4 linked regions of the Notamacropus eugenii genome follow. The protein of the gene in region 1 interacts with the protein of each later gene in a pairwise test. Links are inferred from orthologs where the notes say so. Each region holds a gene or a part of one and is shown on either strand. Other genes may lie near its edges.

Evidence for each region.
Region 2: the proteins of FAM131C (region 1) and GRN interact in binary tests that used the Homo sapiens proteins (3 or more experiments, as listed by UniProt). The link is inferred for Notamacropus eugenii from reciprocal best matches to the Homo sapiens genes FAM131C and GRN.
Region 3: the proteins of FAM131C (region 1) and VSNL1 interact in binary tests that used the Homo sapiens proteins (3 or more experiments, as listed by UniProt). The two-hybrid records come from large-scale screens. The link is inferred for Notamacropus eugenii from reciprocal best matches to the Homo sapiens genes FAM131C and VSNL1.
Region 4: the proteins of FAM131C (region 1) and HPCAL4 interact in binary tests that used the Homo sapiens proteins (3 or more experiments, as listed by UniProt). The two-hybrid records come from large-scale screens. The link is inferred for Notamacropus eugenii from reciprocal best matches to the Homo sapiens genes FAM131C and HPCAL4.

Annotation. Positions count from the first base shown.
Region 1 is NC_092876.1:55,563,100-55,570,866, forward strand, and holds the start of FAM131C (protein FAM131C), read right to left. Parts: upstream 3,005-7,767; 5' UTR 536-3,004; coding exon 481-535; intron 1-480.
Region 2 is NC_092873.1:349,631,393-349,638,460, reverse strand, and holds the start of GRN (progranulin), read left to right. Parts: upstream 1-4,067; 5' UTR 4,068-4,183; coding exon 4,184-4,209; intron 4,210-4,802; exon of another isoform or gene 4,803-4,905; intron 4,906-7,068. UniProt on the Homo sapiens protein: Secreted protein that acts as a key regulator of lysosomal function and as a growth factor involved in inflammation, wound healing and cell proliferation. Regulates protein trafficking to lysosomes, and also the activity of lysosomal enzymes.
Region 3 is NC_092872.1:756,458,825-756,466,144, reverse strand, and holds the start of VSNL1 (visinin-like protein 1), read right to left. Parts: upstream 3,019-7,320; 5' UTR 2,672-3,018; intron 1-2,671.
Region 4 is NC_092876.1:79,423,861-79,431,761, reverse strand, and holds the start of HPCAL4 (hippocalcin-like protein 4), read right to left. Parts: upstream 3,003-7,901; 5' UTR 3,002-3,002; coding exon 2,840-3,001; intron 1,913-2,839; coding exon 1,697-1,912; intron 941-1,696; coding exon 743-940; 3' UTR 1-742. UniProt on the Homo sapiens protein: May be involved in the calcium-dependent regulation of rhodopsin phosphorylation.

The sequences.
Region 1 (7,767 bases):
GGGAAGGGCCTCTGAGCACCTGAGGAATAGGAAGATAGGATGATAGGCCCGGGTTTCAGTTTGCCCTCTTACTATTCGAGGAAGGAGGAGTGCCACTGTGCCCAGAGATATCTTTCATTAGGAGTGACTCACTGAAGGGTCACTCAGCCCTGCCCAGGGCACTGATGGGCACAGCTGGGCATATGCTCAGTTAGGAGAATGGGTAGGAGGTTTCTTATGGGGACTCATCCCAGACCCTAGCTATCCTTTCCTTCCCTGGGGTGAATCTTGATGCCCTGGGGCAGAGCCCAATCTGCTGGGCCAAATATCCCCCAAATTCACCCCAGTAAGACCTAGAGCCATCAAGCAGGCTGAGAAAAACAGCTGAGTTAAAGGTTTCTCAGAGGAACGGGCAGGGGTCAGGAACACCTGCATTTAACAGGTCATATACAACCTAGAAGTGGGTGTTTTTAGGGAAGATACAAAGCATTTATTAAACACCTGCTGTATATGTACCAGGTACTGTGCCTTTAAGTGCCCTACAAGTACAGCCCATCTGAAGAGATGGGGGAGAGACGATGTGTGGGATGGTGAGAGGCCGCACTAGAACCAGGCAGACGACCCAGATTCAAAGCCTCTGAGCAGTCACTTTTCCTCCCTTGCTCTTCATTTTTTCCTCTGTAAAATGCAGAGGCCATCCAGCTCCAAGGAGAGAAGGAAAGGGGCATAGGAGACTGAGGGAGGCCCAGAAGTTCAGTGACCTGTCCAAGAACACACAGGTTACAGTAAGTGGAAGAACAGGATTCAAATTCTCCATCCATCAGTCTCTAAATCAAGGGTTCTTCTCTAAGGGCCCTCCCAGGCCTGGCATCCTATGTTCTAAGGGTCCTCCCAGCTCTGACATCCTGTGTTCTAAGGCCCTCCCAGCTCTGACATTCTGTGTTCTAAGGCCCTCCCAGCTCTGACATTCTGTGTTCTAAGGCCCTCCCAGCTCTGACATTCTCTGTTCTAAGGCCCTCCCAGCTCTGACATTCTGTATTCTGAGGTCTTTCTCAGCTCCGACATTCTGTGTTTTTAGCACTCGATGTCTTCAGGGTCCTCCAGGCTCTGATATTTTATGACCTCACCTTCACAGAGACTGAACTCTAAAGATGAATAAGAATATTGATGAGCCCTCCACATATCTACTGAAAGATGTTAAAAAATGCTTGCATCCTTTTACGTGGGGCCGTCACTAATCCTACAACAACACCCTACCTTGCCTCTTAGTGTTGAGGGCTAGGGCAGGGAGAGACAAGATGGAAGTGTCAGAGGAGCCACCTGGGGTTGGTTCCATTTTAATGATGGAAAAACTGAGGCTCCAAGAGCTGTGACTTGCCCACATAGCCAGTTAGCAGCAGAGTGGGAACCCAGGTCATCTGCTTCCAAGCCAAATGCTCAATCCATTCCACTAGGGAGGATTCTTTCCACCATGCTGCCTTTCTTGGTCCCTCCCCAGTTTGGTTTCCCATTCCTATATCTCCTCTCCAGGGTCCAAGCCTACAGCTGGTTACCTCCTGCCTCCTTCTCCCCCTCAGGACTTGGGTCCTTGTGATGTCACCCGTGGTTGCCATAGAGACATCAGGTAATGAACCAGGCTTGGGTGGAGTCACAGGCTCCTCCTTCCCCAGCTGGGACCAAACCAACCACGTCACTGGCCATTGGAAAAACACAGCCTGAGAAGGATGGAGAGAGGGGATGGAGGCAGGAGCATAGCTCAGGGCCCCCTCCCCCAGGATGGGTCAGCTCTGTCCTCTGTGAGATTAGTGACAAGGAACGCCTGGATCTCTAGCAGCATCTCCCCTATTCTCTAAAGGCTTTAGAAGTAAAAAAAGATCTTGGCATCCATTGAAGCACCTGAGACCCAGAGCAGGGTAGTGACTTGATTAAGGTCATTCATGTAGTTACTAATAGACTATGAGATTTGAACTCTGGACCTCTGCATCCCCTGGCAGATCTAAACCAGTAACTACAGACCCCTTTCCTAGACTCTTGGTTTACCCTGATCCTGAGGTCAAAACCTGACTCCTCAATCTGCTATTTGCATTTCTTTATATCCCTAACACTTAGTAAGATGACTGGCACATAGTAGGTACTTAATAAATTCATGCCAAATGAATAACTCTCCTTCCTCCCCTCAAAAAAAAAGAATTAAAACTGGTTTGCTTCCTGGGGGCACTTAGAGGTCATGTCTTGTATCCTTCTGCATCAAAGTGGGCAGTTTCTCTCCAGTTGATAAAGAAGCTAGAGAGGGAAGATGCTATTTCTTTCCTCAGTACATTTGTTGAAGTATAATATGATCTCTAGCACTGGGGAAGTTCCTCCTTGTGTCTAGTCAAACATTTTCTTGCTGTGTGTCTAACCAAAACCTTTCTTTGGTAACTTCAGCTCACTTCTCTTCTGGAATGATCGGGGAGATGGAGAGTTACTGGTCACCCTCCCCCTAGATAATATTTGAATAGTTTACAGCTCTCACCCTGTTCCTGACTCAGCTCAGTTCCTTTGGGCATCTCAAGGAGCTGTTTCCATCTAAAGACTTCACAGTCTTTATGGGGCAGGCAGGGAGGGCTCATATTAAGTCTGCATCTTACATCCCTTACATCAGAAGGTCAGAGAGAAGAAATACCTCCCAAAGTCACACAGTGGAAAGACCTCCTTTTTCATCCCTGTTCAGTTCACTTACAAAATCTCTGAGTTTGAAGGGATCATCTCATCCAACCCTAAGGTCACACTATTAAAATTTAAGTCAACAACCTATAATGTACAAGGCATTAGTCTGAATGCTGAGAAAATACTAAAGCTAGGATCTGAATCTCGGTCTTCTGCCTCCCTTCCCCTGCCCTATGTTTTCTGTTTTCACCAAGAAGCTCAGTGTCACTCATGGTCCCCTATCTTGATTATTCTAACAGGTCCTAGGACATCAGTCCTAAGGAAAGATAGCCACACTTCTGTGTTTGAGATGCCTTTGTACCATCCCCGTGAGAGTTGGTCAAATCCCTTTCCTCTCTCTCAGACCTCAGTCTCCATTTCTGCACAATGGGGCCAATGTGTGCCCTCCTCTTCCCCCAGCTTCCCCCCCCCCCTCAAGTAAGAGAGAGAAGATACTGCCTCCTCCCTCTGCCCGGTGAGTCACCGCCACAGGTGCAGAGACCCAGCCTGGTGTGGCGGCTTGGCTGAGAACAGCCTGGCTGTTACCAATCTTCCCTAGCCCTCGAGAAGAGATATTTTTAGAGTGATTGTACAGCTTCTATTGCTTTTCAGAACCTTTGGCTCTGTTTTCTGCAGCAGCAGATACCCATCCTTTCATTTCCCCTCCTCTCTAAATCTGTTAGGGTTATAGAACAAGGACAGATTTGGGTTCAAATCTGGCTTTGGACAGCAATTAGCTATACAGCCTTGGACAAATCATTTCACCTTTAAGAGCCTCCATTTTGTCATCTATACAATGGGGATGATGATGCCTGTAGCACTGACTCCCACATCATTGCCATGAGGCTCAAATGAGATGTCTGACTGCACATCACTTTGTAAACCTTAAAAGTTTTATAGAAATGTCAGGTATTATTAACATATTCACATTAGCATATTTTTGGTTCCTTCTATAAACCATACTGGGGCAGCTAGGTGGCACAGTGGACAGAGTACAGGTCTGGAGTCAGGAAGACCTGAGTTCAAATCCGGCCTCAGACACTTGCCAGCTGAGTGACCCTGGGCAAATCACTTAACCCCTATTTGCCTCAGTTCTTTATCTGTAAAATGGGGACACACCGGAGAAAGAATTGGCAAATCACTCCAGTGTCTTTGCCAAGAAAACCTCATGGATTCTTTGCCAAGAAAACCTCCCTCATCTCCTTTAAATTCACCACCTTCATGAAGTTTCCTTGGATTAACCTGATTTAAGTCCATCGTACCAACACTTGAGGATTCAGTTTGCGCTACAAGAATGAATGTTATTAATGTTCTTATTGGCATTTCCTAGAGTATGTGTGATATGCTCTGTTTCTCCAACTCAGTTTAGGAGGTCAGAAACTGGGTTTCTCCTATCAAATGAAGATTCTTCAAGGGTAGGGAGTGTATTCCTCACTGGACTGGGGACTTCTAAGGAAAGAGTTGGGAGAAGGGAGACTCTGAAACTTATTGGTCTCCTCTCAAGATGGGAGGAACTCCAGGTTCTCATTGTGATCCCTGGCAAGATGACAAAAATCTGCTTTGTTTGTAGCCTGCTTGGGGCTTCAGTGTACCTCCATGCTCAGTGGAAAGACCAATCCCACCTAAACTGGCATGGAGAGGGAAGGGAGGCTCAGCTTCTTGGGTGGAAGGGTAGGGAGAAACATAGGTAACTGTTTTCCATAGGCTACCTTGGGGATGACCTGCAGCCAATTTGCACTATTACTGGACTACCTTTCTGCAATATCTGCCACTGTGTATCAAATAAATGTTACCTAGCATATACAAAGGATCAGAGAATATCTAAGTCAGGAAAAAAAAATCTTAAAATATAGAACATATTTGTCAGGGGCCTTAGAACACTAAATGTCAGAACTGGAACGGCCCTTAGAACACTGAATGTCAGAGCTGGGAAGACCCTTAGAACATGGAATGTCATAGCTGGGAGGACCCTTAGAACACAGAATGGCAGAATTGGGAGGGGTCTTACCACACAGAATGTCAGAGCAGGGAGGGTCTTAGAACACAGAATGTTTGAACTAGATGCAACCTTGTCACTTTTACCCTGTCACATTCACATAGATGTATCTTAAGCTTGTTAACCCTGCTATCCCTAGGCTGTTATAAACACACAGTGTGAGACCTGGGAGGGAACTTTGAGATTTTCTAGCCCAGAGAGCCCACAAACTACTGCTTAGGAGCCAAGTCCTGTCCACTATCTGTTTTTATACCTCCTGAAGAACTAAGAATATGTTTATATTTTAAGATACATTGTACATACATAAATTCAAAATATTTTCTATTTTTAAATATAATCAAAATTTATTTTAAAATATAAAAATCCTTCTTAGCCACTGGTCATCCTAAAATAGGCTGGGCTGGATCTAGCTTGCAGATTGTAATTTGCTGCCCCACCCCATCTAGACCAAGCCCCTCACATTAGGGAAAGTGAAACCCCCTATAATACTTCACTAATCCTTAATTAGAAGCAGTTGGGGACAGATAATTGGGGATGGCAGGTAAACCAATCTGAATCTGTGACAAATATGAATTATTGATTACTTGGGAAAAAAAGGAAGTACTTGTAGACTGAAAAAGTACCAAAGAGGAGAGCTCCTGAGGTGACCTGATTAAGTGACTACAGATCCAAGGAGCCTGAAGCCGGGAGGTGCTTCCAAAGCATCCAAGAATGGGTCATTCTGTTAAATAAACTAAACTTATTCATTCTCTCTCTCTCAAAAAAAATATATATACATATATACATATACATCTATCTATCTATCTATCTCTCTATCTATCTATCTATCTATCTATCTATCTATCTATCTATCTATCTATCTATCTATACTGCACATCCATTTGGGAAACATCATTTCCTTTCCCCTTCTCCCTCACCATCATTTCCCCCTCTTCCACTAAGCGTAGGGAAGGTATTTCATGCCTAGAATACATTTTCCACCCTGGTCCAAATTGTTGAAAGCAGAGACCCGGGTTCTGGGCCAGCCTCTTCAGCTCTTGCCCATCTGTAAAATGGGAAAAACACTAAGGTTCCTTCCACTTCCAAAATTCTATGTTCTAGGGTCCAAAACTAGTTTGACATTCTGTTCTAAGGACCCTCACAGGCCTGACATTCTGTGTTCTGAAGTCTCTTCCATTTTTTGATATGATAAGGTCCCTTCCAAATTTGTCGTTTTGTGTTCTAACGGATCTTTTGGCTCTAATATTGTGTGTTCTAAGGGACTTTTTCCAACCTTTATATTCTCTATCCTAGGGCCATCCCAGTTCCAACATTCTGGGTTCTAAGGGCCCTCCCAGCTTTGACATTCAATATTCTAAGTTCCCTCCTCTCTCTGACAGTCTGTGTTCTAAGGTTCCTCCCCTCTCTGACAGTCTGTGTTCTAGGGCCCCTTCCAACTCGGACATTCTATGTTCTAAGGGCCCTCCCAGCCATGACATTCCATGTTCTAAGTCTTCTCCCATCACTAGTGTTCAGTGATTCAGTGTTGATCAGGGAAATCCAAATCAAAGAGGTTTGACTGAGATTAAACATGACTTTTCACTTACTGGGAATCTATTTGCAATGGTTCTTCTGATTGTCTGTAACATCTGCCCTATCCCTCATGGTGGGCAAAACTTGTTCTGGAAACACCCTTCAATACTTTAAACATTCATGAACATACACAGAAAGACAACTGGAAAGTCATCTCTGCTTTTTGTTTCCATCCTACAGTTTCTCATCCACATCCCTCCTGATAGCAGATGGTCGTCTGCTGTTACAGAATATAACCCAGAGACCAGGGAGCCCTCTGTGGAGGCCTGGACTAAACTGTCTTAGCAGGAGGGCAGAGGGCCCCAGTCACAGGGTAGGCTACCTCAACTCAGTGTCGGATCTTTGTCCAGGTGACAGGAAAAGTAACTGACAACCCTGTTTCTCAGGTTAGGCCTTGAGGAGGGTGCAGCAGGTATAAGGTGACCTGGGATAGAGATTAGTTTTAGTTCAATGCACATGAGAACCCCAGGGCTGAGGCCTTTGAAGTGATGGAGCCTTGTGATTGCCCCTGCCGTGAAGATAGGGTTTCAGTGATAGAATGGGGAGAGTGACAGGGTTCAGTGAGGAAGTAGGGGACATCAGTGAAGGCAGGAATATTTACTAAAGAAGATGGGGAGGTCAGTGAGAATGAGGGTTCAATAAGACTGGGAAAGGTCAGTGATGGCATGGGAGCTTGGTACAGATGTCAGGAAGGAAGATGTGGACCTTGGAGAGGATGGGACTTACTGGGCCTTACTGGGCTGGCTCAGTGAGATAACAGGACCTCAGTATAGAGATGGAGGGATCAGTACAGAGGATGGGGAGAAAAACGTAGAGGTGCTGGTATAGTGAGAAGGATAGGGAGGTCATAGAGAAGATGGAAGGGGGTCGTTCAGAGGAATGGGGAAGCCAGAGAGAGGGATGTAGGATCTCAAGGACGCAAATTAAGGCAATTCACTAGTGCCCTGGATCCTTGGGAAAAGTCCAAACTTGGGCTAAGAAATCCCTAGGCTTGGCTGTGCTTGAAGAACTTTGCTCTCCTAAATGCCCATCCTTGTACAAAATTGAGGTCATGTTGGTCCCCCTCATTCATGAGTCTGTCTCACCTGGCCATCTTCAGCCTATCACACTCACTAGACATTACCTCATACCTGTCACACTTGATACCCCTAGTCTATTACAGACAAACTATCATAGACAAACTAAGATCTGTTGTCTTCACATAGGCATGTCCTATACCTAGCATACCTGGCCAGCCCTAGCCTTCCACAGTAATAGACATACTTTATAGTAGTCACACCTGGTCACTCTTAGTATGTCCCACTCAGAGACAACCCTGGACAACCTTAGTCCATCACACTAAAATACTAGTTGGCTGGGGAGACAGACAGGGGAAGGAGGTGGTGACTGGTTCTGATTTTGTGTTTATGATGTGGTATGCGAATGGATAGTTTCCCCCTGACCTAGGCTGACCCCAGGAGAACTCTGAAAAAACAAGGCCAACTGTTTTTGTAGTAGTCCAAGGCTGGACTACAAAATGTCTGGGGCTAGAG
Region 2 (7,068 bases), on another chromosome or scaffold:
CCAGGGACCCAGAAACCCGAGATCAGGTTGGAGGGGAGAAGAAAGGGGAGACATAGAAGGGATGGATCCTTCTTCCTGCTCAGCATGCCTCCTTTTAAACGGCTGTTTCTAGTCAGTTGGGGAAAAGATTATCTTACTTAAAATAAATTCAATGTATAAGTATGTGAATATATTAAATATATGGGGACTTAAAGAAAAAGAATGGGATGTTCTTAATGAAAATCTGGAAGCAAAGAGTACTTGCTGGCTCCTGTGTCTGAGAACCGGGGTTCAAGGCTTGACTCTGCTACTTGGTAGTTCTGTATGACCTTGAACAAGCCATTTCCCTTTGGGCTAGAGTTCTCATCTGGAAAATGAGAGGAGTTGGCCTGGATCTCTAAGGGCCCTTACACCTCTAGACTCTGTGGTCTCCTAAAATCCAGGGACATCTATTTTGGACTGTCAGGGCTTTCTTTTTGTTCTCTTTCTAGTTTTTGGCTATGTACCCAAACAGTCCCACTGCTCCCCAAAAGACCTGGAGTCCAGCTAGTCTCCTCACATGCCAGGTGAATTCTTATCCCCAGGCCTCTGTTCTCCCTGTTTGAATACCTCTCCCCTCCTTTCCAAATCATCCCCATCTTTCAAAGTCTGGCTCCAATGCCAGAAAGCATTCCCTGACCTCTTGGATAGAAGATAAAGGCTGCTAGGTTGGCCCTCCACCTCACCCAGAGCTCCTGCCCTCCTGCCAAAGCTTTTATTGTGGCTCTATTACTGTGGATGTTTGGATCATAACCTGAACCTAAGGTCTGAAATATCCTGAATTTGGAGTCACTGTTTAGTGTCAGAAGGAACTACAAAGGCTAATCTGGCCCAACTGATGCGGTTTAAGGGGTTCAGGGACCCCCGAAGGACTGAAGTACTGGACAAGTCATCTGGAAAGAATTCACAGACTCAAGCATTCCTTGACTCAAAGTGGCCAAGGTTTATGGTAACGCCACTATGGTGGGCAGAGTTCCTTAAAGAACTTGCAACTTAATAGGAATGATGCTAAAACTTATATAGGAAAAGTAGTGGACCATCTGGCAGATATGCTAATTAAGTGATAACTTACAACCCTGGTCACTGGCGTCATTCACTACTGGAAACCAGGGTAAGGGGTTTCTCAGGGGTGTATTTTTGGTCTTTAGGTTCTGTAGCAAGATAGCTTTGAGAGCTGGTGTCTACAGCTTGGCATCTGGATTGAATATGATAACTTTGGGAATCAATACATGATAATTCTATGGTTACAGAACAATCCTGTTTTTACAAGAGAATTTCTTCAGTGCTCAGCTTGTTTTCTGATGGGGAGAGATAGTTTGTTTTACTGGGGCACACTCATGAGTTATTGGTGGGCATAGTGTCCTTGGGCTCAGGAGAAAACTGTCAGGAATAGCGTTTTGAAGCTAGGGAGAATGTGATCTTGGAAGTGGAGTCTAAGCACAAGTATCAGATCACAACCTCTTCATTTTACAGATGAAGAAACTGAGGCTAAGAAATAAAACGACTTAGCTTCACAGAGAAACAAGTGGGTTTTGTACAGAGATCTCTCCAATTCTAAATCCAAAGCTCTTGGATTCCAACTCTAGGAGCTTATAGTTGAGGTGGGAAGATAAGATGGAGAAAATGTGATCAGACCCTGTCACAATCAACAGTACAAACAATGCTGCAGTCTCAGAAGGCCTTTGGGGGGGGAAGCAAGACCAAGTATACAGGTCTTCTGAGTATGTGTAATGAAGGGTAGAGTGAGGAAAGGCAGGCTAAGAGGAAAAGAAAGGAAACAGAACAAAGAATTATGGTCAGGCAGACACCAAAATCTGCCTGGAGCTAGTTGTGTTGTGTTGGCTGGAAGGGAGAGATAAAGCTAGACCCAGGGCTAAAGGCCTTGAATGATAAGCTAAACAGTGGAGTCAAACTCAAATAGAAGCAGATTCCCCAAAGGTGACGTATTGACTTAGAAACCTACAAATTAACATTAGCTATGAATGCATGTATGTGCGTGTGTACATGTATACAAATATATGTATATACATATATATGCATACACACATACACACACATATATATGTACACACACGTTTTATTTTATTAAATATTTCCCAATTATACTTTAATTTGGTTCAGGCATTGGTTTGACACCTGTGAGCTTTTATCCTGCAGGAACTTTGGAGGGAGGCTAGATGGGGGCAGCTAGGTAAGGGAAGCAGATAGAGCACTGGCCCTGAAGGCAGGGGGATTTAAGTTCAAATCTGACCTCAGATATTTAATAGCCATGTGACCCTAGGTAAGTCAATTAACCTTTTAAAAAAGAGACAGATAGGCTGAATCTAGGGAATTACTTGGTAAAGTTAGCGTTTTAGGAAAGTTCATCTACCAACACAGCTTCAGGCTGTGAACCTGATCTGATTTTGATCTACTAGGGAATGACCCTGGAGGCAAGGTGGTCATGTAGAAGACAGTCTTGGAAAAACTTGAGTGAGGGCCTACATACTGAAGTAACTCCACAAAGGACCTGAGCCAAACTTCTGGACACGAAAAAAAGAATCCAAGAATAGGAAATCTAAAGATAACACCCCCCCCCCCAACTTGAATTCCTAGATTGGGTCCCCAGAGAGCAACAGCTACCAGGGCTCTCAGGGGTTCCCACTCCTAACACTAAAGCTTCACAAGTTTCAGCCTGTATGTCTTCCCTTAACAGACATCTGGTAGACATACTTAGCTGTTTACTAATGCTACTGTTTACTAAGATGGCATAATAAGAGTAGTAGCTATAAAACATTACCTCCCCCCATAAATTGGGGGTGCATATTGCCATAAATATACAGAAGATCTTAATGAGTGGGCTCCAATTTGGAGTCAATGACAGATATAGAGAACAATACATCTTCAAGGCAAATCACAGCCACGCCAGTCCAAGACTCCAGGGTCTAGCCATTTCTCAAGAGATCCTCCAGTGGTTTTCTGCTGAGCTTGAGGCAGGATGCTCTACTTGTAGGACAGGCTTGTTTCTTATATGGCGCAGCTTCTCTGGTGAATAATAGCTCTGCTAGATTCCCCTAAGATTTGTTTACTCTTCACCAGGCAGTTATGGTCTCCTCTTTCTCCAGTGGAGACCTAGCACTAGCAGAATCCTCCCCAGTTCTGCTCCTTCAGGGTCTCAGATAGCAGAAGTTTTAGCTTTTCATCCCAAAATGATTCTTCAAGTATCTGTTGGGCAGAATATATCCTCTTCGGGTACCCGGCTCTCATTCTAAGCTACATGACAGATGAGGATGAGAGCGGAGATGAGAGAGATGACAGAAGTGTCTTCCTTACTTCATACTTCTGATGGGGATAAGATCTGAACCCCCCAAAAGAAAAGACCATGTCTTTGGGATCTGGACCCCTAAAAGGAAAAGTCCCTGGACTTTCCCCTGCAGCTCAGGTCCCTGGTGGTCGCCTGAGGCCCTCCCAGTTAACTTCTTTATTTTCTTCACATCTAGACTCCTTCTCTGTTCTCTCAGCTTTTTGTATAAAAGACCCATCTTGTCTCCATGCAAAGTGCTCAGACTCCTTAAGGGTCTAGCCAATGCTTGGATTACTTAAGAATCTGGCCAATATGGCGCATTTTTAGAATCAGGCCCCTCTTCTATCTGTGTTTTAATAAACCTTGTCTTTGGCTGCAAGAAGGCTTGGGCCAAATTCATTGCGGCAGGACGTGCACGTCACTATGTGGGGTGCCAGCACCCCTAAGTCTCCACAGTTTCGCAGGGCTTCCCTCCTGGCCTGGCTCCTGGACCTTGGCTTCCTTAGATTGCCCCTGTTCTGTCCACAGTGACTGGAAAGAGAAAAGCCCTGGTTCGGAACCCGCCTCCCCCGTTTCCCAGCGCGCGATCCCAGCAGTCACTGGACTTGCTCAGCTTGTTTCCTCCTCGGTGACCAGAGGACCCCCCGTGGAGTTCGAGACACGACTGGAAAGGGCCCGGCGCACGTCGGTCAGGATGGCCTTGAGGGGGCCTGCGGGGGTGGGGGGGGTTCCGTCCGGGGCCGGTGGGCCGGACCACCCTCGGCTGACTCAGCTAGGGGCCTGCGGACGCCTCGACCGTCGGCTAGCCCTCGTGCGCCCCGCCAAGGTTTGCCAGCCCTCCACGAAGGGCTCTTTTCCCTCCTCCCAACAACCCTGAGCCGGATGTTAGGGTTCTCCTCATTTTACAGGTAAGGAAATGAAGAGAAGTGGAGGGCAAGGGGCTCACCCGGGGTCGCCCGGCTCAGGGCTGGCGGGGAGAGCTCCCCTCCCCCTCCCCCAGCACCAGCACCGTGTCTGGGTTCGAATCCGGGCTCCAGCAGCTAGCTGTGCGCGCCCCGACAAGTCCCCTAACCTCTCCGGGCCTCAGTCTCCCAGCTATGTAAAAGGACCGGGGTGGGAGGCCCGGACCGGATGCACCTGGGAGCTCCCCTTTCCTGGGCCCAGCTCCAAGGGGCCAGCCTAACTGGATGAGGAAAGGAACTGCTGGGGCGGGGGTGGGGATGGGGGGGTCGGAGGCGTCACGGGACAAGGCCGCGGTCAGGACTGGCGCCTAGCTTGGGGTGATCGGCGTCCGTCGCTCTCCTCCCTCCCTTTTTCCCCCGCCCTCACACACCGAACCCCAGGCAGCCCGGGGACCACGTGATCGTGCCATCACATGACGCTCTCGTAATGGGAGGGTGAGGTTGGCGGGGTGGCAGCGGGGGTGGGAGGGAGTCCGGGTTCTGCCGCCCCGCTGGGGGGGTGGTGGCAGCCAATGGCGGTGGGCCGGCCCCGAGCTCTCAGCCAATAGGAAAGAAGTGGGCGTGGCCCCCAAATCTGGCCGGGTCGGTCGGCGTGTTGCGGCCCCGCAGTTTGTGGCCCAGGGCAGTGAGGGTTGCGCTAAGGTAAGCAGGGCCGTCTCCCGGGGGACCCCGGCCAGCGGGGCTCTGCTTGGGGAGCGTGGGGGGGGGGGGGCTAGTGGGCTCTCCATGCTTGGAAATTGGGAAGGGGGGCTTCTTTTGGGGGGGGGTCAGCCCCCAGCGGGGGGGCTGCTAGTGAGCGGTGACCTCAGTGACTGCCTTCCTTGGAAGAAAGGGAGCCTGCCCATGGCCCCCAGACCCCTTTGAAGTTAATTTCCCGTCTCCCCCACCTCCGTTTAAAGTGGACACCCTGAATGATTTAGAACACTGAAAACAAATAAAATAACAAAAAAAGTGGGTACCCTGGCATCCTGGGGGTCCCGTCTACCCCCCGTGCCAGTTGGACGTGCTCTCTTCCCTGGGCTATTATCTGCTGGGGCAAAGTCCCCAGAGCCAGGAAGGAGGCAGGCAGGAGTCTGTCCCCACCCCCCCTCAGTCCCTAGGGAAGGGGTGAAGAGCCGGACACAATCAAGCCTTGGGCAGCCTGGCACAGCCACAGGACTGGGCCCCCTTCACCCCATCCCCTCTGTGGCTCCCTACATCCCTAGAAATAGCTTAAGAAGGAATAGCCTTTGGGAGTCTGGTTCAGGGTTCAACAGCTCCCTAATAACTTTTTCTTTTGGGTGTCTCACCCTCCTGGCTTCTCTCTGCCATTTTACAGCCCTGAGTACAAGGCGGTCCAAAGCAGGCACAAGAACAGAGAGAGAGAGGAGGTTGGGAATTGGTATTACTAAAACGTTGTTTCTCTCTTCATGCTGTACAGCACAACACACACAACTCCCCTAGGCTTGATTCCTTTTTTTGCAAACTCAGTTGTATTTCTCCTGTGGTTTTTTTTTTTTTTTTAGGAGGAGCCAAAGGTTGGGCTTGTATGGGTCAGGGCCTCAGGTCCTGAGAGGAGGAGTTTATCCAAGTAAAAGCTTTCATCTCCCCATAGAGGAAATAATTTTGTAGAGGCTGGAAACCTTAGAGACTTTGGTGTCTGCCCATCTTTAGACCTTACATTCCGAGAGGCCGAAAGAGAAACAGGTGGAACACCTAGCTAGTGTGGGGAAAACAAGAAATAAAGCAGAGGAGGACCTAGCTGGACCTCAGAAGCTTTGGATTTTTTCTGGGAAGAAAGGAAGGCGGAGGATGAGGAAAGGAGCCTCCTCGTCAAAGTGACTTCTGTGGTGACCAGGGAAGAGTAGGATGAAGGATACCTGGGACTTAGTTGCAGAGCAGGGTTTGAATTTACCGTCACCACTACTGTAATGTCCCACCTACTTAGCTACATCAGATTTGGGGGGCTTAGTCTCTCCCTGTTTCTGCCCCTCCCTCCATCCCAGCTTGGGGATATCTGGATTTCAAGGAAACTTGGTCTCTCAGATGAGGTAAAGGGTAAGAAGGAGGTAACCTCAAAGACCTGTCCTAAAGCTGTTCTCCCCTCCCAACCTATCTCATCTGTGGCTTATGTCAGGAAATGATGCTGACACTTTCTCTTAGCAGTTACTCTTAGTGACCCTGATTTTTTTTTCTTCTATTTCCTCATCTCATCGATTATTGATGGAGGGGGTGAGGCAGGCAAACGTAGAGAAAGAGGGACAAAGAGTTGAATCAGAAACATTTCCCAGATCCCAAGAGCCTGGCCTCTCTCCAGCTTCCATTTTGGAAATTTGTTGAGTTGTATTTAGTCACGTCCAACACTTCATGACCCCTTTTGGGGTTTTCTTGGCAAAGGTATTAGAGTGGTTCGCCATTTCCTTCTCCAGTACATTTTACAGATGAAGAAACTGAGGCAAACAGGGTTAAGTGACTTGTCCAGGGTCACACAGCTACTAAGCATCTGAGGCCTCATTTGAAACCAAGTCTTCCCAACTCCAGGCCGGGCACTCTATCCACTGCACCATCTGGCTTCCCATCATCTTGGAAATGTGTTCTAATATTACCCAACCTCTTCTTGGATCAGTGAAAATGACATCCTCCCCCATAAGTTCTTAATCAAGGGCTGGGTAAGGGAACCCATATAAGAGTTTCCTGCCCTTACATCTATCCTTCTTTTGCAGAAGTTAGTATCACCCCCCAAACCCTTCTTCCCACCCCATCCCCACTCTTGAAATGATCAGTCTTTTCCCTCTTTGAGCTTGAAGGAAGGGATGACCCAACAAG
Region 3 (7,320 bases), on another chromosome or scaffold:
TGCTGCATAGGGCCAGCACTAGGGATCTCCAAGACCATCTGACCAGCCCCTCCATGTTACTGAGGAGGAAACAGAGGCCAGGGGATGGGGAGGGCTTTGTCCCAAATCTGGAAGGCAGTAAGCAGAAGAGGTGAGATTCAATTCCTCTGACTGTGGAGCAGATTCTCCTTTCCCTGCACCAAGCTGAAGGACCTTAGAGATCGCCTGGCCCTACCCCCTTGCTGTATGGAGAGGCAGCAAAGCCTGGATTTGAACTCAGGTCCTCCGATTCCAAATTCATTGGTTTTTCACCTTCTTGCCCCTGCCTCTCTGCCCCCACCTCCACCTCTTTTGGATGGATGGACGAAAGAAAACCAGTCTGGAGGACAGGAAGAGCTTAGGACATGAGCTGAGACTAATGAGAGACTAATCTGTATAGAACCAAGAACACATGTTGAGTATCTAAGCCCTGAGTTCCAATCAAACAGGAAATTTAGCACCTAACATCTGAGGACAGGTTCTTAGAGAGAATCCAGGCAAGGGGTTCAGTCTAGGGAAGCCTCAGAAATGTTTATAAATGCATAAAATAAAATACATAAAATTACAAAGGAAACCAACTATATTGAAATATATATTTAATTATAAAGTTGATAGACCCCAGGTTAAGAATGTTTTACCTATTCCAACCTCTTCTTGAACAGAAGATACACAGAGCCAGAGTTCTTCCCTAGTCCTAACACCTAAATGCATGCCTAGGCTTTAAGTCACACATCATCCTCCACCGTCCATGACGCAGTGCTAACGAAGCCCCCTGGCCTACAGGCTGCCCTGCTCCATCCCACTGCCTGGGAATATGGATAAACCTTGTTTGGTGGAAAGGGATTTCTTGAGTTTGAGGGGACCCATTTAAACGCATCCTTTAAGAGCTATGAAGGAGAAAGGAGGGCCAAGGGCCGGGAGGTGCTCCCAACCCTGAACCGAGGACCCCAAGCCTCTGCTTATACAACTAGAGATGGCCAGGGGCTGGAAGGGACCAAAGGGGCTCCGGAGCTTGCCCCAGGCGGGTACAAAGCCTTTTGTAAACACGAAAGTGCTTTGAAATGTAAGTTATTGTTACATAACTCCCCCCCCCCCCCTCATTTGGGCAAGCTCCCTCCACCCGCCCCCTTCCCCGTTTCTCACAGTGTAAAATGGGGGCGGGGGGAGGAGAGATAGGAGATACCGGCCTCTAAGGTCTCTGGAAGCCCTCGGTGTTGGAATGGTCGACGTCCTCCTCAGCACCCAAGCACAGGCACACACGTGCGTGTACACACATACGCACACACACGTGCGTGTACACACTCGCACACACACGGGCACACAAACACACGCGCGCATGCACACACACACACACACACACACACACACACACACACACACACACACACACACACACACACACACTCCCTCACATACCCGCCCGCCCCGCTCTGGTACACCAGCCACAGAGCCGTTCCCTGGCTTTCCGTACCCTAGGACCCTCTCCCCGACGCTCCCAGGGGGCCCTTTTCTCGGATATTACCAGGGCACCGGGGGGAGATGGGGAGGATGTAAGTCTGGGAAGTCCCCGGCGGCCTCGGACTGCACGCAAGGTTGGACCCCCAGGTTAGCCAGGTGAGAGGGTAAAGCAGTAAAAGGCCAGCTGGCCACACGCATCCCCCCCTGCCCTTTCCGCTCCCCTGGAGATCTGTCTCAATTGGACCCTCAACGCCTCCGCCAAGGAAACCCTCCCTCTTCGTCCTCCTCCTGTTCCCCCTCCCCAAGATCTGCTTTCTTTCCCGGGGCGGGAGGAGCCACCGCGAGGCTCGCTTGAAAGCCCAGGTCGCAGCCCGACCAGGTAACTAGGCTGGCAGCGAGGCCGTCTCAGCCCGTCCTCTGCGGGAGCCCGCACCCACCTCCTAAACCCCCCATCTAACGTCCGGAGCCCCGGCTGCCTCGGACCTCGCGAGAAGGGGCTGCTCGGGCTGGGCACCAGGAACCTCCCGACCCGAAGCCCCAATGACCTTGGCTCCTGTGGCAGCCCATCCCCCCGCGCTGCTGGGTGGCGGGCGGGCGGCGAGCCCGCAACACTCCTCCAGGCGGGCGGGGAGCCCCTCGGGCTCTCGGAGGAAGGCTCTCCTGGCGCCCGCCCCGCAGCCCCCACGACCCTGCGCGGCAGCCTGCTCCCGACAAAGCCACCCCGGACCACCCGGGCAACCCTCTCGCGAGCCCCCAGGGCCCAGAAAAGCCCCGCGCTCCTCGAGGATGCGGGGCCGGGGCCTCCCGGGCGATCCCGAACAGCCAGCCCCGGAATCCGCTCCCCTCCCCGCGCTGCCCGGCCCATGAGTGCGCACCCGGCGGACCCCGGGCCAGCAGCCCAGGCAGCAACACGCGGCTGGCGTCGAGCCGTCCGCCCCATCGAGGACTGGGCCGATCGAACGTGCGGGACAACCGGGGCTGTTCATGCACGGGCTGCGCGATCCCCCGAGGGGCAGCCCCCCTTTTCCCAGCTGCCTCCCCCCGGACGGACCCCGCGGCTGCCCCAGGCGGGATTTCTGATGGGTGCCTCCGGACCCTGGGACTATGGGAAGGAGAGCCTGGCCCCCCGCCCCCCGCCCGGGCCCGGGAGGAGGAGGAGGAGGAGGAGGAAGGCTCGCCGGCGCCGGGCACTTACTGGTGGGGCGCGGGGCAAGCACGCACTGCCACTCGATGCAACTGAAAGCGCTCCGCAGCTCGGGCTGGGACTCGGGGATGGAGCGTGCGTCCGCCCGCCCGTCTGTCCGTGCGCCGGTCCCGCCGCCTGTCCGTCCGTCGCGGGCTCGGCTGTCTCTCTGCAGCAGCAGCAGCCGCGGCAGCCGCTTCGGTCCCCTCGGCGCGCGCCTCGCCGGCCCCGCCGCCACCGCCGCAGCACGCGCCCGCGCCCGCGTCCGCTCCCGCCCCGGCTCGCGCTCGCGCTTAGGCTCTGCGGCGGCTCAGCAGCGAGACCCCAGTGACAGTCTGGGCTGGGCTCAGTGCGCAGGCGCGCCAGCCCCAGCCTCCGCCCCCGCCCCCGCCCCCTCCGCAGCCGGGCGCACCTGCGTACGCGGGGCGGGCAGAGGCTGCTGCCGCGCCGCCGGCTCGTGACCCCGCCCCGCCCTCGGGAAAGCCGAGGCCGCCAGGGGTCGCTGCTGCGTCGGCGCCGGGGCCGCTCCCTCTGCCAGGACAAGGGTTCGAAGCCCGGCTCCCGACACTTGGGCGGGACCCAGGACCTCTCTCTGGTCTCAGCTTCCTCGGCTCCAAAAAAAGGTTGGCTTAGAACAGCGGTTCCTGGGCGGCCCCATCTCCCGACCAGGGGCCTCCAGTGTCCTTGCCACCCCAAGTCATGGCCCTGCTCTTGTCACTTAATTGTCCTGGGCCTGAAGGGGACCTCTGGTCAACCCAGTGGAGTCAACTGGTAGGACGGGCGAGCAAAACTGGAGCTTTGGGCCCAGAGTCAGAAGACTGAGTTGGAATCCAGCTTCTAACGCTTCCCAGCAGAGAGTGTAGGCAAGTCACGTGACTGCTGCCTGCCTCAGTTTCCCCATCCATAAAATGAGGATCAGGATATACTTCTCTCCTAGCACTATCAGGATCAAAGAAGACAATGAACCCAATATTGTGAACCACAAGGTCATGTGGGAGGGTGGCCACCAGTTGTGGATCTGAGATCCTCGAGTTCTATGACATTAGCCTCTGTGGGACTCACTGTCCTTGGAACTCTGGGAGTGGTGATTCTCCATCCTGCCCTTTCCTCTCCTCCTTGTACCCACTCTTATGTGATGGCAGTAGTCTGACTGACTCAGTCAGTCAACAAGCATTGATGAAGCAGCTCCCAGCCTCCTACTCACCAGATAATGTCTGCAGGGCTAGATTACCTCCAACCCCCTGTCTAGGACTCCATTTTTCTTTTGGGAGAGGGGATGAATCACACTTGTACTCCTAGATTCTTAGTGCTGGAAGATATCCCAGAGGTCCTCTAGTCCAGTTGTCTCATTTTATAGAAGGATTAGCTTAGGCCCACAAAGGTTAAGCATCCAAGGGTCAGAAGTTGACATCTGAACCTGGGTCCAGAGCCCATGAACTTCTCTACCCAACCCACAAGGCAGTGAGGCAAATGCTCTGCTAACCCCAAATGCTGTAGAAACATAAGGAAGGAGCTATTCTTAAGGGTGATGATAACTTCGGTGGTGATGGTGATGGTGATGATGGTGGTGGTGGCAACGATGATGATGGATTGGTGGTTGGAGATTAACATGTACCCTTTCAAGATCCCTGTGGCGAGCCAAGCTGCTAACCAAGAGCTGAGCTAGAACTCACCCAGGCTGTCCATTCCACGACCTTGAGAGGAAAGATGATGCCAGAGGGTACAGGACTTGGAGTCAGTAAATCCTGGATTTAAGTCCTGTCTCTGACCTTGTTCTGACCCCGGGCAAGTCATTCAACTTTTCTGAGCCCTTATTTCCTTGTACTTAATAAACTCCTCCCCCTCCCATTTGTTCTCCTTACCTCTAGTCTTTCCCTTCTAGAATCCATCCTTCACACAGTTACCAAATGAATATTCCTAAAGCAAGGCTTTTAACATATTCCTCCTCTGCTCAAGAACCTTCAGTGGCTCCCCTTTTCCTCCAGGATAAAACACATGCTCTTTTGTCCTTAAACAAAACAAAATAACTTTACGTTATGTCTCCAGCACACTTTCTCCAGACTATCCCACAGTTTTCCATCTCACAATACATTATACTGTAGCCCAACTGACCTACCCACTCTTCCCTGTATCCAACATTCGATCTCTCTCTTGTCCAGCATGGTAGTTCAGGCCTCCCTTAGGCCAGTCTGGCAGGTCAGATTCAAGATTGGAATAGGATAAGACACCCATTGAACATGGGGGCGTTACCCAAGTGTAGGGATGGCATGTTCAACAAGGTGGCAGCCTTTGGTTCTAGCTTTCCTGTGTCTGTGGTGCCTGTGCTGTTCTACTGGACAGAGAAGCTGCTGACTTCTTGTGCCCTGGCTTTTTGGTACTCAGGACACTAGAATCCCAGATCCGTGACCTGAGTCTTCGTTCTCTGAGCCAATTAAGTCTCAAGGAGAGTTTTGGTAGCTTTTATTGAAAAGCTAGCCTTGCCCCAGCAGGGTAGGACCTTAGCTCCGTCCCCCTTCAGAGTTAGGTTATTTCTCTCAAAGCAGGTAACATGCACGCATCATGCATGGGACCTGCAGTTTGTAACTGAGCTCCCTTTGGGGTTCGCATGTGTAGTTTATAGTTTATATATCCTTCCAACTGAGGGTGAAGTCACTCTGTCATCATTTCATTCCAGGACAGAGAAAACACCCCCATACCAGACCACTCCCAGCCTTGGGCTATGTAGACAAAAAAGTCTGTCTCCACCCAAGCTTAAGTAGAACACCAGGGCTTCCCTACCTTGGATTAAATTACTTGCGAGTTTGGGTGGAGGGCTGACCAAGATAAGGAGAGTCCTTGCAATCTCATTATCAGCAATGTCCTTCTAAAGAAAAACTGAACTTAAAGTCAGGACTTTGGAAAACGGGGGCAGGGAGAAGCTCGAAATCTCCAAGATATTGATTATCAATAATCATTTTTCACAGCTCCTACCCCACCCACAACGTCTCCCATGGCCAGAGTGTACTCCCCACTCCCCTTCTGCCTCTTAGAATCTCTAGGTTCCCTCCAGACTCAGCTCAAGCGCTGAGCACCGCCCCCTACACCCAGTAATCAGTACTTCCCCCTAAGCCTACCCACCCCCAGTAACTTGTCCCTCTTCCCTTAGTCAGTTTGCTTCCCTCCCTTCCCCTTCCCTTCCTTTCCCCAATGGGCCCCTGGACCCACCTGGCTTTGGAGTGATTATTAATAGTAACTATTGCTGTTTCCCTCCCAGACTGATGTCTTTCTTTTTCTTGGCCTCATTAAAGGGGCCATGCCCTCGATACTTCTTAAACAGGCCTGTTCAATGAATGGGAGTTACCTCACCCTAAGGGAGTGCCTGTAAAGACCTTGGTCTAAAAGGCTTGAGGTCTTCCAGTGCATCCTGGGTCATCTCCAGTCATCCTGATGAATATCTGCTCACTGGATTCAAATGGTTCTGGAGGAGAAGTGAGGCTAGTGACCTGCACAACCCTCCCTCACTCAAATCAAAGTCAAGTGCAAGTCATGTCATCATTTCTCTGATGGCCTGGTCTTCTTCAGCAATGAAGGATGAACACAATGTCAGTTTGCATTTACTCTTTTGTCAATGTGTTGTTTCTGCCTAGTAGCAGGTAAGGCCCTTGAGAAAAGGAACTGTTTCTCTTTTTCCTTTGTAGTTTAACGCAGTGGCTGGCACACAGGAGCCCCTTAACAATGTTTACTGAAAGTTCTGATTTGGCCTGCTTAGTTCCTAACATTTTTAAGAGGTGCTACTAAGCCAGAGCAGGCTCCAGGGTACAGTGAAAAGACCATCCAAGAGGCATAAATGCAGAAGACGTGCACTGGAATCCTAGTCCTATGATGTATAGCCTGTTTGACCTGGGACAAGTGACTTCAGCTCTCTGGGCCTCCCTCTACTTCATTTCCTTCTTTCTACACTAAGGGGCCAGGCTAGATGGTATCCACAGATGACTAGCTCCAAATCTTGTGGCTGTGACTGAAGTATGCATGGAAATGCTTTGGGAAATTGGAGGTCCCTCAGACGGGTGTTAGTCTTTCTAAGATGTACAGTGTCTGATTAGTCATGGACAAGTGGCTCATCCTGTCGTAGGATTCCAGAGTGGCAGCCTTGGGGTCCTCCTTTGGCCTACAGCCTGAGCCATTAGACTGAGGCACCTGCAAAGAGAATTGCTCAGAATATTAAGGCAGGATGGAATCTTAGGTTCTGGCCAATGCAACAAAAAGAGAAACTGGGGCCTGAAGCAGTGAAGGCAGAGATTGACTCAATGAGCTGCTTCTTGAGAGCATTCATTCCCAAACCTAATCCACATGATCTGGGGATTATTTCTCTGTCTTGGATTAGGGGAAGGGAATAAGTATTTATATAAGAACGTACTACGTACAAGGTGTTGTGTTGAGCACCTTAAAAAAATAAACAAATATTATCCACTCTTTTGCTCAGTGCAAATGGTGCATTGACAGTTGTATCTCTTCTAATTCATTGAACACCCCCCTTACCCTCCTTGAGCATGCTCAGGCTCAGAAAGGCCAAGCAAATGGTGCAGCCTGGAGGCTCCCACAGTGTAGAGCTCACCACCATGACTGATCTCTGCTATCTGGTTCTTGCCTACTTTAGATGGGCGAAGGAGGGTGGGGAGATT
Region 4 (7,901 bases), about 24 Mb from region 1:
GGATGTGATGGATCTGGGGCTAGGAATACCCCCCTCCTCAAGGCCTGCCCCTAAGCTCTGCCAGCAAGTTCAAAAGAAGAGAAGGGGGAACCAGGGGCAAAACTGTAGGGTTGGGGAAAGGGGTCACACAGGGAGGGGGCCCAGGACTAAGAGAGCTGGGCCCCTGGAAGACCCTGGGATGAGGGGGGCCCATGGAAAGGGGGGGTGAGCCACAACCAAGGCCTAGGGCTTGAGGGATACCTGGGGCAAAGAGGGATGGAACACTAGAAAAGCCTGGGGAGAGGGAAGGCAGAGGTGGGCTGAGGCCCCAAGGAGGGGAAGTTGGAGAGGCCTCAAGATGGGAGAAACCTGGGGCAGAAAAGTGTAGAACATCAGAAGACTATGGGGAGAAGGAGGTCCAGGGCAGAGGACGGTTGGAAACTGGGTGGCTCTGAGGAGGGGTAGGGGAGGAGAGGATAGGACAAAAAGATGCCAGGGTAGAGGGGGCTAGGACCCAGGAATGCCTGGAGATAGGGGAGGGGAGGTCCTGGGTAGAGGAGGCTAGAACATAGAGACGCCCTGAACAGAAGGGGTTAGGATCTTGGAGGCCAGGGCAGGGCACAGGGATGCCCTGGACAGAGGGGGTAGGACCCTAGGAGGTCCTGAGGAAGGGCACAAGGATGCCCTGGACAAAGGGGTTAGGACCCTAGGAGGTCCTGTGGAAGGGCACAGGGATGCCCTGGACAGAGGGGGTTAGGCCCTCCTACTTCTGCATGTCACACTGCAGCAGGAGCACAATGGATGGGTCACTCTTGGCGGCCTCCTTGAACTCCTCCAGGGTGATCTGGTCATCTTTGTCCTGATCCATCTTGGTAAAGATCTTGTCTACGCGCTGCTGAGGGGTCAGCCCATCCTGGTTCATCCTCATCATGATGACCGTTCCTACCATCTTGTAGATAGCCTAGGTGGAGAGGTAGGAAAAGGAGGGGGGGTTGGGATCAGCCCCTCAGGCCCTACTGGCCTAGACCAAGCCTTCTCACTGTCCCACTCTGACTTCTGAACCTTGACCTCAGACCTCACCACTCACCCTGACCACCAATTCCCAAACTTCACTACTCCACTCTGATATCTGACCCCTGACCAGGGGCTTCAGAGTCATGTTGCCTAAAGACTGGCCGAAGGAACTGAAGGAACTGCGCTCCGTTTAACCTGGTGGGGGAAGATTCGGGCAGTGATATCTATCACCTTCAAGCACTTTTCCTGTGGGAAAGGGATCAGCCTTGTTCTTGCCTTAGCGGGCAGAACCTGTAGCTGTAGCTGAGTTGAAAAGACACAAATTCAGGCTTGATGAAAGGGAAAAGTTCCTCATAATAGGGTTGTGCAAAATCAGAATGGACTCCCCCAGAAAGAATGAGCTCCCTGTCACTAGAGGGCTCCAAGGGAATTCCTTGTTCATGTCTGGGCTGGACTAGATGGTCACCGGTGCCTTCACACTCTAACTTGATTGACTACTCTGACCTCTGATCTAAAACAAAACTGACTTCTGAACTTGCTACTCTGACCCCTGACCTTTCCAAATCCAACCACCCCAGTCATGCAGCCCACTCTCTGTCCTCCAAACCCGACTTCTTTTTGCCCTCCTTTGTTTCCCTCTTTCTCCCCTGCTCTGACCCCCAGCCCTCCCAATGCCCCAGCCCTGCTGACTCCCCACCAGCACCTCAATGATCTCCAGCATCTCCAGGCGGGTGATGCGGCCATCACCATCCAAGTCATACATCTCGAAGGCCCAGTTAAGTTTCTGCTCAAAGCTTCCTCGAGAGGTGACCGACAGGGCACATATGAACTCCCGGAAGTCTATGGTCCCATCCCCGTTCTTGTCAAAGGTGCGGAAGGCATGCTGGGCAAACTTAGAGGCATCACCATATGGGAAAAACTGGATGGAGGAGAGGAAGAGAAGGAGTTGGGGGGAAAGGGAATCAAGGAGACAAGGAGGCACACACCACAAGAGAGAAGCAAAGATCAGACAGGGAACAAGAGACAGCGCAGACAACTGAGGCAAAGTGCCCTGGGGGAGAGGAGAGTGAAGCCCAAGGCAGATTTGTATGGACCAATGCATAGAAAAGTAAGCAGAACCATGAGGACAATTCATATTGTAACAATAACATTGTAAAGATAAACAACTTTGAAAGATTTAAGAATTCTGGTCAATGCAATGCCCAGCCAGGGTTCCAAGAGACCAAGAAGAAAGCTACCCCCCTCCCAACAGACTGATGATCAACTTAGGGAGCAGAACGAGACACATAGCTTTGTACATGACCAATAAAGGAATCTGTCTTGTTTGCCTATGTGCTTGCCTACGCCTATTGGTTACAAAGGATTTGTTTTTGTTTTTTTCATTAGGCGCAGGGAGAGAAAATAGATTTTGTTAACTGAACAAATATAAAACAAATTTTAAAAAAATTGAAACCCAGGGTCCTGGTGGGAGCTGAAACTGTAGGCCTAGGTGCCACCAGGCTTGTCCCTAGAGTTCCCCCAGTCCATTGCCCCCCACCCTAGCCTCCTAGAGCATGGTGGAAGTAAGCCCAAGTCCACCTACACTTCCAGGGCAGGGAAAGGTGGGCCTGTTGGGGATCAGGTGAGCTCTTGGCTCAGAAGAGAAGGGGGAGAATGGAGAGGGCCTCCAGGTAGGATCCACACATCTCTCAGTACAGCGAAGGCCCCTGTAGCAAACTCCCCACCCTTGGGTGAGGACCCTCTCTCAGCTGACCTTGGACCTGACCTCCCTCTACATCCATCCTCCATCCCTCTTCCCAAGAGCCCAGGCAGGAGAAGGTGGAAGGGGAGGAGAAGGGAGGTTTACTTTGACATAGAGCTGCTGAAACTCCTCCAGGTTGAGGATGCCGCTGGGACAGTCCTTCAGGAAGCCTTTGTACCACTGCTTCAGTTCCTGCTCACTGAACTCTGTGCTCTGCACAAGGTCCTCCAGCACCTCCGGAGCCAGCTTGCTGCTTCCTTTCCCCATGGCCCAGCCTGCGGGCACACAAGCACACAGAGAGCTCAGTCTCAGCCTTGGCAAAGGAGAATTCTTTTCTTGGGAACCTGGACAAGTCCCCTCAGCCCTTGTGCGCCCCAGACAACCTGACTCCCCAGGCTGGGCCCTAGGAGCTCCCTCTTTCTTTCAAGTTCTTTGTTATTACAAAAGATGCTGCTGAAAAGCAGTTATGTATTTATGGGACCTTTCACCCTTTGGTTTTTACCCCCTTAATGTATATGTCCTGGAGTAGTGTGTGTGTGTCTGTGTGTGTTCGTTTTTTATTACTGAAGAAGACCATGCCATCAGAGAAATGATGACATGACTTGCACTTGACTTTGTTTTGAGTGAAGGAGGGCTGTGCAGGCCAACAGCCTCACATCTCCTCCACAGCCATCTGAATCCAGTGACCAGATATTCATCAGGATGACTGGAGATGACCCAGGATGAGGCAATTGGGTTAAGTGACTTTCCCAAGGTCACACAACTAGTGAGTGTCAAGCGTCTGAGGTGAGATTTGAACTCAGGTCCTCCTGACTCCTGCACTGGTGCTCTATCCACTGCACCACCTAGCTGCCCTCCTGGGGTAGTATCTCTGGGTCAAAGGGTATGAACAATTTTGTTACTTTTTTGAAAATAGATCCAAATTGTTTTCCTGAATGGTTGTACTAATTTGCAACTCCACTAACAATGTATTAGTGAGCTTATCTTCCCATAGCCCCTCCAACATTTACCATTTTCATCTTTTGTCATCTTTGCCAATTTGAAAGGCATAATACAATATCTGAAAGTTGTAATAAAATTCCCTCTTCTCCCTGCTTTTTAATGTCCCAGAATCTTACTTTCCTCACCTAAAAAAAAAAGGCAAAATAATGATTGTACTACCTACTTCTCGGAGCAGTAGTAAACTTTAACCTAAAAGTGTTACAGAAAGAACGTGTGCCTAGAGGTAGCAAAGTGGTGCAGTGGATGGAACTCTGAGTCCAGAGTCAGGAACAAATCCAGCCTCAGACATTCGCTAGCTGTATCACCCTGGACAAGTCATTCGGCCTCTATTTGCCTCAGTTTTTTAAACTGTAAAATGGACTTAACAATGGCATCTGCCTCCCAGGGCTGTGGTGAGTCTCAAAGGAGACAACGCTTGACAAATGTTTAGCACAGGGCCTGGCACACAATTAGCTGTGTGGCCTTGAGCAAGTCATTTCATCTCTATGGGATTCTTTCTCTTCCTATACCAAAGGAGGGCTATACTGTCCGAACCTTACTGTGTTTGAATCTCAGCTCTACCATTTACTGTGTAACCTAGGCTCACTAACCTTTCTGTCCCTCTGTTTGCTCATCTATAAAAGGAGGGAGTTGGACAAGATGACTTCTAAGCACCTTCCCCCTTGAAATCTCTGATTCTGTGATAGGACACCCTCTGTCCTAAAAATCTTTCTCACTATTAGCTCAGGCACATGTTACCAAGCTGAAAGGGCTTCAAGTTTGGGCTCAGTGATGGAGTTCATGTCTGTTGTCCAAGGACCAGTCTAGCTAAGTTCACAGCCGCCCACCATCAGGGTAAACTGCAGGAGGAGGAATTTATTTTAGGGAGGGAGGGGTCCTGAGTCCTACATCCTGACAAAATCGTTTGTTGGTTGTGCCAGACTCTTTGTGATCCCATTTGGGGTTTTCCTTGGCAATAATACTGGAGTTTTTTGCAATTTTCTTCTCCAGTTCATTTTACCAATAAGGAAGCTGAGGCAAACACAGTTAAATGGCTTGCCCAGGGTCACCCAGCTAATAAGCGTCTGAGGCTGAATTTGAACTCAGGTCTTACTGTGCAACCTAGCGGCACAAATAACATAGTTATTCTTGAAAATGGCTTACAAATGGAAGAGGCCTTGTGTTCTACCTCCAAGCAAGATTAAAACTCCTTTAAGAAGCATTGGGACCAAGACTGAGAAGCAGAGACTTGGACCCATCAAATCCAGGCCTCTTCATAGAACCAAAGAGGAAAGGCATGCACAAACAAGGTGATGATGCGACTTCTAGTAACAGGCAGGGCCAAATATTATTATTGTCGCTGATGATGTGAATATTCCTGGCCAGCCTCTTTCTTATTCTGGGTGTGCTTTCCCCCTAGGCAGCCTCCCATGCTCACTCTCACCTGGAGGGCAATCAGCTTCAGGGTTCGGAGGTTTCCTATTTGGAAAGGGCTAGAGAGGTCATTGAGGTTACCTGCTTCCCTCATTTTACCATAGGTTCATAGACACTTAGAGCTAGAATGGATCTTAGAGATCTTTGATTCCAGCTATCTCATTTTACACATGAGGAAACTGAGGCCAGAGAGGTTAAGCGATTTGCCTAGGGTCATAAAGATTATCTCTGAGGCAGAATTCAAACTCAGGCCTTCCTAACTGTATCCACTACTGCATACCTCCTCTACTATGAGGAAAGATAACTGAGGACCAGAGGAGGGGAGGGAGGTGGCCTTAAATCTTACAGGCAGCCAGTGTTGGAGTTGGGATTTGAAGCCATCTCTTCACTCCCAAAGTTGTGTCCTTTCCACCATACTTCAGCCCAGTTGTTCTGTCACTGTCTGAACCAATCTGGATCAGGATCCCTGGGTCTCCCCAACCCAACATGGCACACTCAAGTCCCTGTACATAGTGTAGACTGGACAGATAGACCTTAGTGAGCGAATAAACTCCTTAGCAGCCTGTGAGTCCTCTTCCAATTAATTGCCCACTGGTGGCAAAGGAAGCTGACATCCTCATTGATTCAGCAGCACACACCCCATTCTCCCCCCACCCCCCACCCCCCATACCCTCTAATGCAGAAAGCCTCCCCAGAGTCCTTTGATGGTACAGGGGAATGCAGAACCTAACTTGGTCACCAGAGGGAGACAGAGACCAACCCCACAGTAGCAGGCATTTCGTGCATGGGGTGGGGAAGAGGTGGTCTTTAGAAGCATGGGGGTGAGGGGTATGAGTGGGGGACCACTGGGAGCTGTTGAAGGGTTAGTGGAAGTATTGGGGGTGGATAATATGCTGAGAAATCAGTGAAGAGTGGAAAGAGCAGTGGGACGTGCTGGGGAGCAGACTCATTGTAGGGGCAGTGGGGATATTGGGGGTCAGTAAGAAAAGGTTGGAGAGTGCTGAGGGTTAATGAGGGGCAGTGAGGAAGGTTAGAGGTTTTGGGGATCAATGAAGGGCATTAGGGGCTATAAGGAAAATAATATTGGGAGGCAGTGGGAGGTACTGAGGTCATTAGAGCAGGTTGGAGGCAGTAGGGAGCATTGGGAGGGGTCAGCAAGAGGCAGCGAGGAAGGTTAGGGGCAGTGAAGATGTTTCCAGGACGTCCAGTTGACCATGGAGAGCTTCTTTATCATCAGCAACCACCCTCCTACCTTTCACAACATCTGAGGAGTGGGGAGGGACAAGGAGGGGAACTCACCATACACTCATAGGAACATAAGTATTTAGATCTTCCATTTTACAGATGAAGAAACTGAGATCCAAAGAAGGGAAGGCATTTTTTTCAATGTCACACAATGAGTTAATAGCTCCTTTGGGAGAGTCCTGACTCAGCCAATAGAGCTGAGGGGTGTGGGGGGCAGGATGTCGGGCCCCTGGAGGGAGAATTGAGCTTGAATCAGGGTAGTCCCTGGTCTTGTTTTAGCAGCAGAAAGCCTAGAAGGTTGCTTTGGGGGCTGCCTGGAGACAGAGTTCTGTATCTGGCTTACTTTGTGACTTACCTTCTGGGACTTCACCAGCTGTACTTAGTGTCAAGAGTACCTTCTTGCCTTCCTGCCTTGTCTAGGCTGACGGGAAGTTGGAGGAGCTGTGGGGGTGGTGTGGGGAGCTTTCTGGCACTTGTTATCACGAGAGTATGATGAATTCTCTCTGGGGAATGATTTGGGGGGAGACGTTTCCTGGGAGACCGGTTTTTGGGAGAAGGTGCTAGCAGGGGGGTAGGAGAAGCTTGAGAATAACTGATTCCCATTTCTAGATCTTCTTTACAACTGCCTTTCCTCCAAACACCCCGGGAGGGAGGAAATTGTCCAGTCCCTCATTTTACAGATGAGGAAACTGAGTCTCTGAGAAGAGGAGCAGCCGGTTCGATGTCACACAGTGAACAGGTGGAAAGATCTAGATTTGAACCCAGATTTCCTAACTCTGAGTCCAGTTTCCTTTCAGCTACACACCCACTGCTGTCCCTTTAACTGCAGTGCTTGGAATCTGGGACTCATAGACCTTGGAGCTGAGAGAGAGCTTGGAGATCGTCACACAGTGTAGGGCTTCCCAAGGTGGGGGATGTGTGCACCTAGAAGGTCTGAGCACAGTAATTCACATTTCTATAGCAAATTAAAGATCTCCAAAGAGCTTTCCAAGCACTATCTCATTTGGTGCTCAAACAACCCTGTGAGGTGGGTGCTACTATTATCCTCATTTTACAGATGAGGAAACTGAGGCACAGAGAGGCCGAATGACTCGCCCAGTAAGTGTGTGAGGCTGGATTTGAATCCAGGTCCTCCTGACTCCAGGTCTAGTACTCTATCAACTGTGGCACCTTGTTATAACTACATATTTATAAATATATATTATTATATAATATATTATAATGTAATGATCTATATATAAATGATTATAAATATATATTTATTTCTTTTCCTATTGGACAGAAAGATGAGAAGATTTAAAGCAAGCCGCGGGGCATGGGGTCCAAAAAAAGGTCAGGAACCCACCCCTGGTCTGATCTAACCTTTTCTTCTACATATGGAAACTGAGAGGAAGAGACCTGTTCAATGTCATGTTTAACCAACTTGTATTTTCCCCTCAGTTAGGACTGCCCTACCTCCCTCTCTTTACCTGTTGAAATCTTAATCAGTCTTTACAGGAGGAAATAG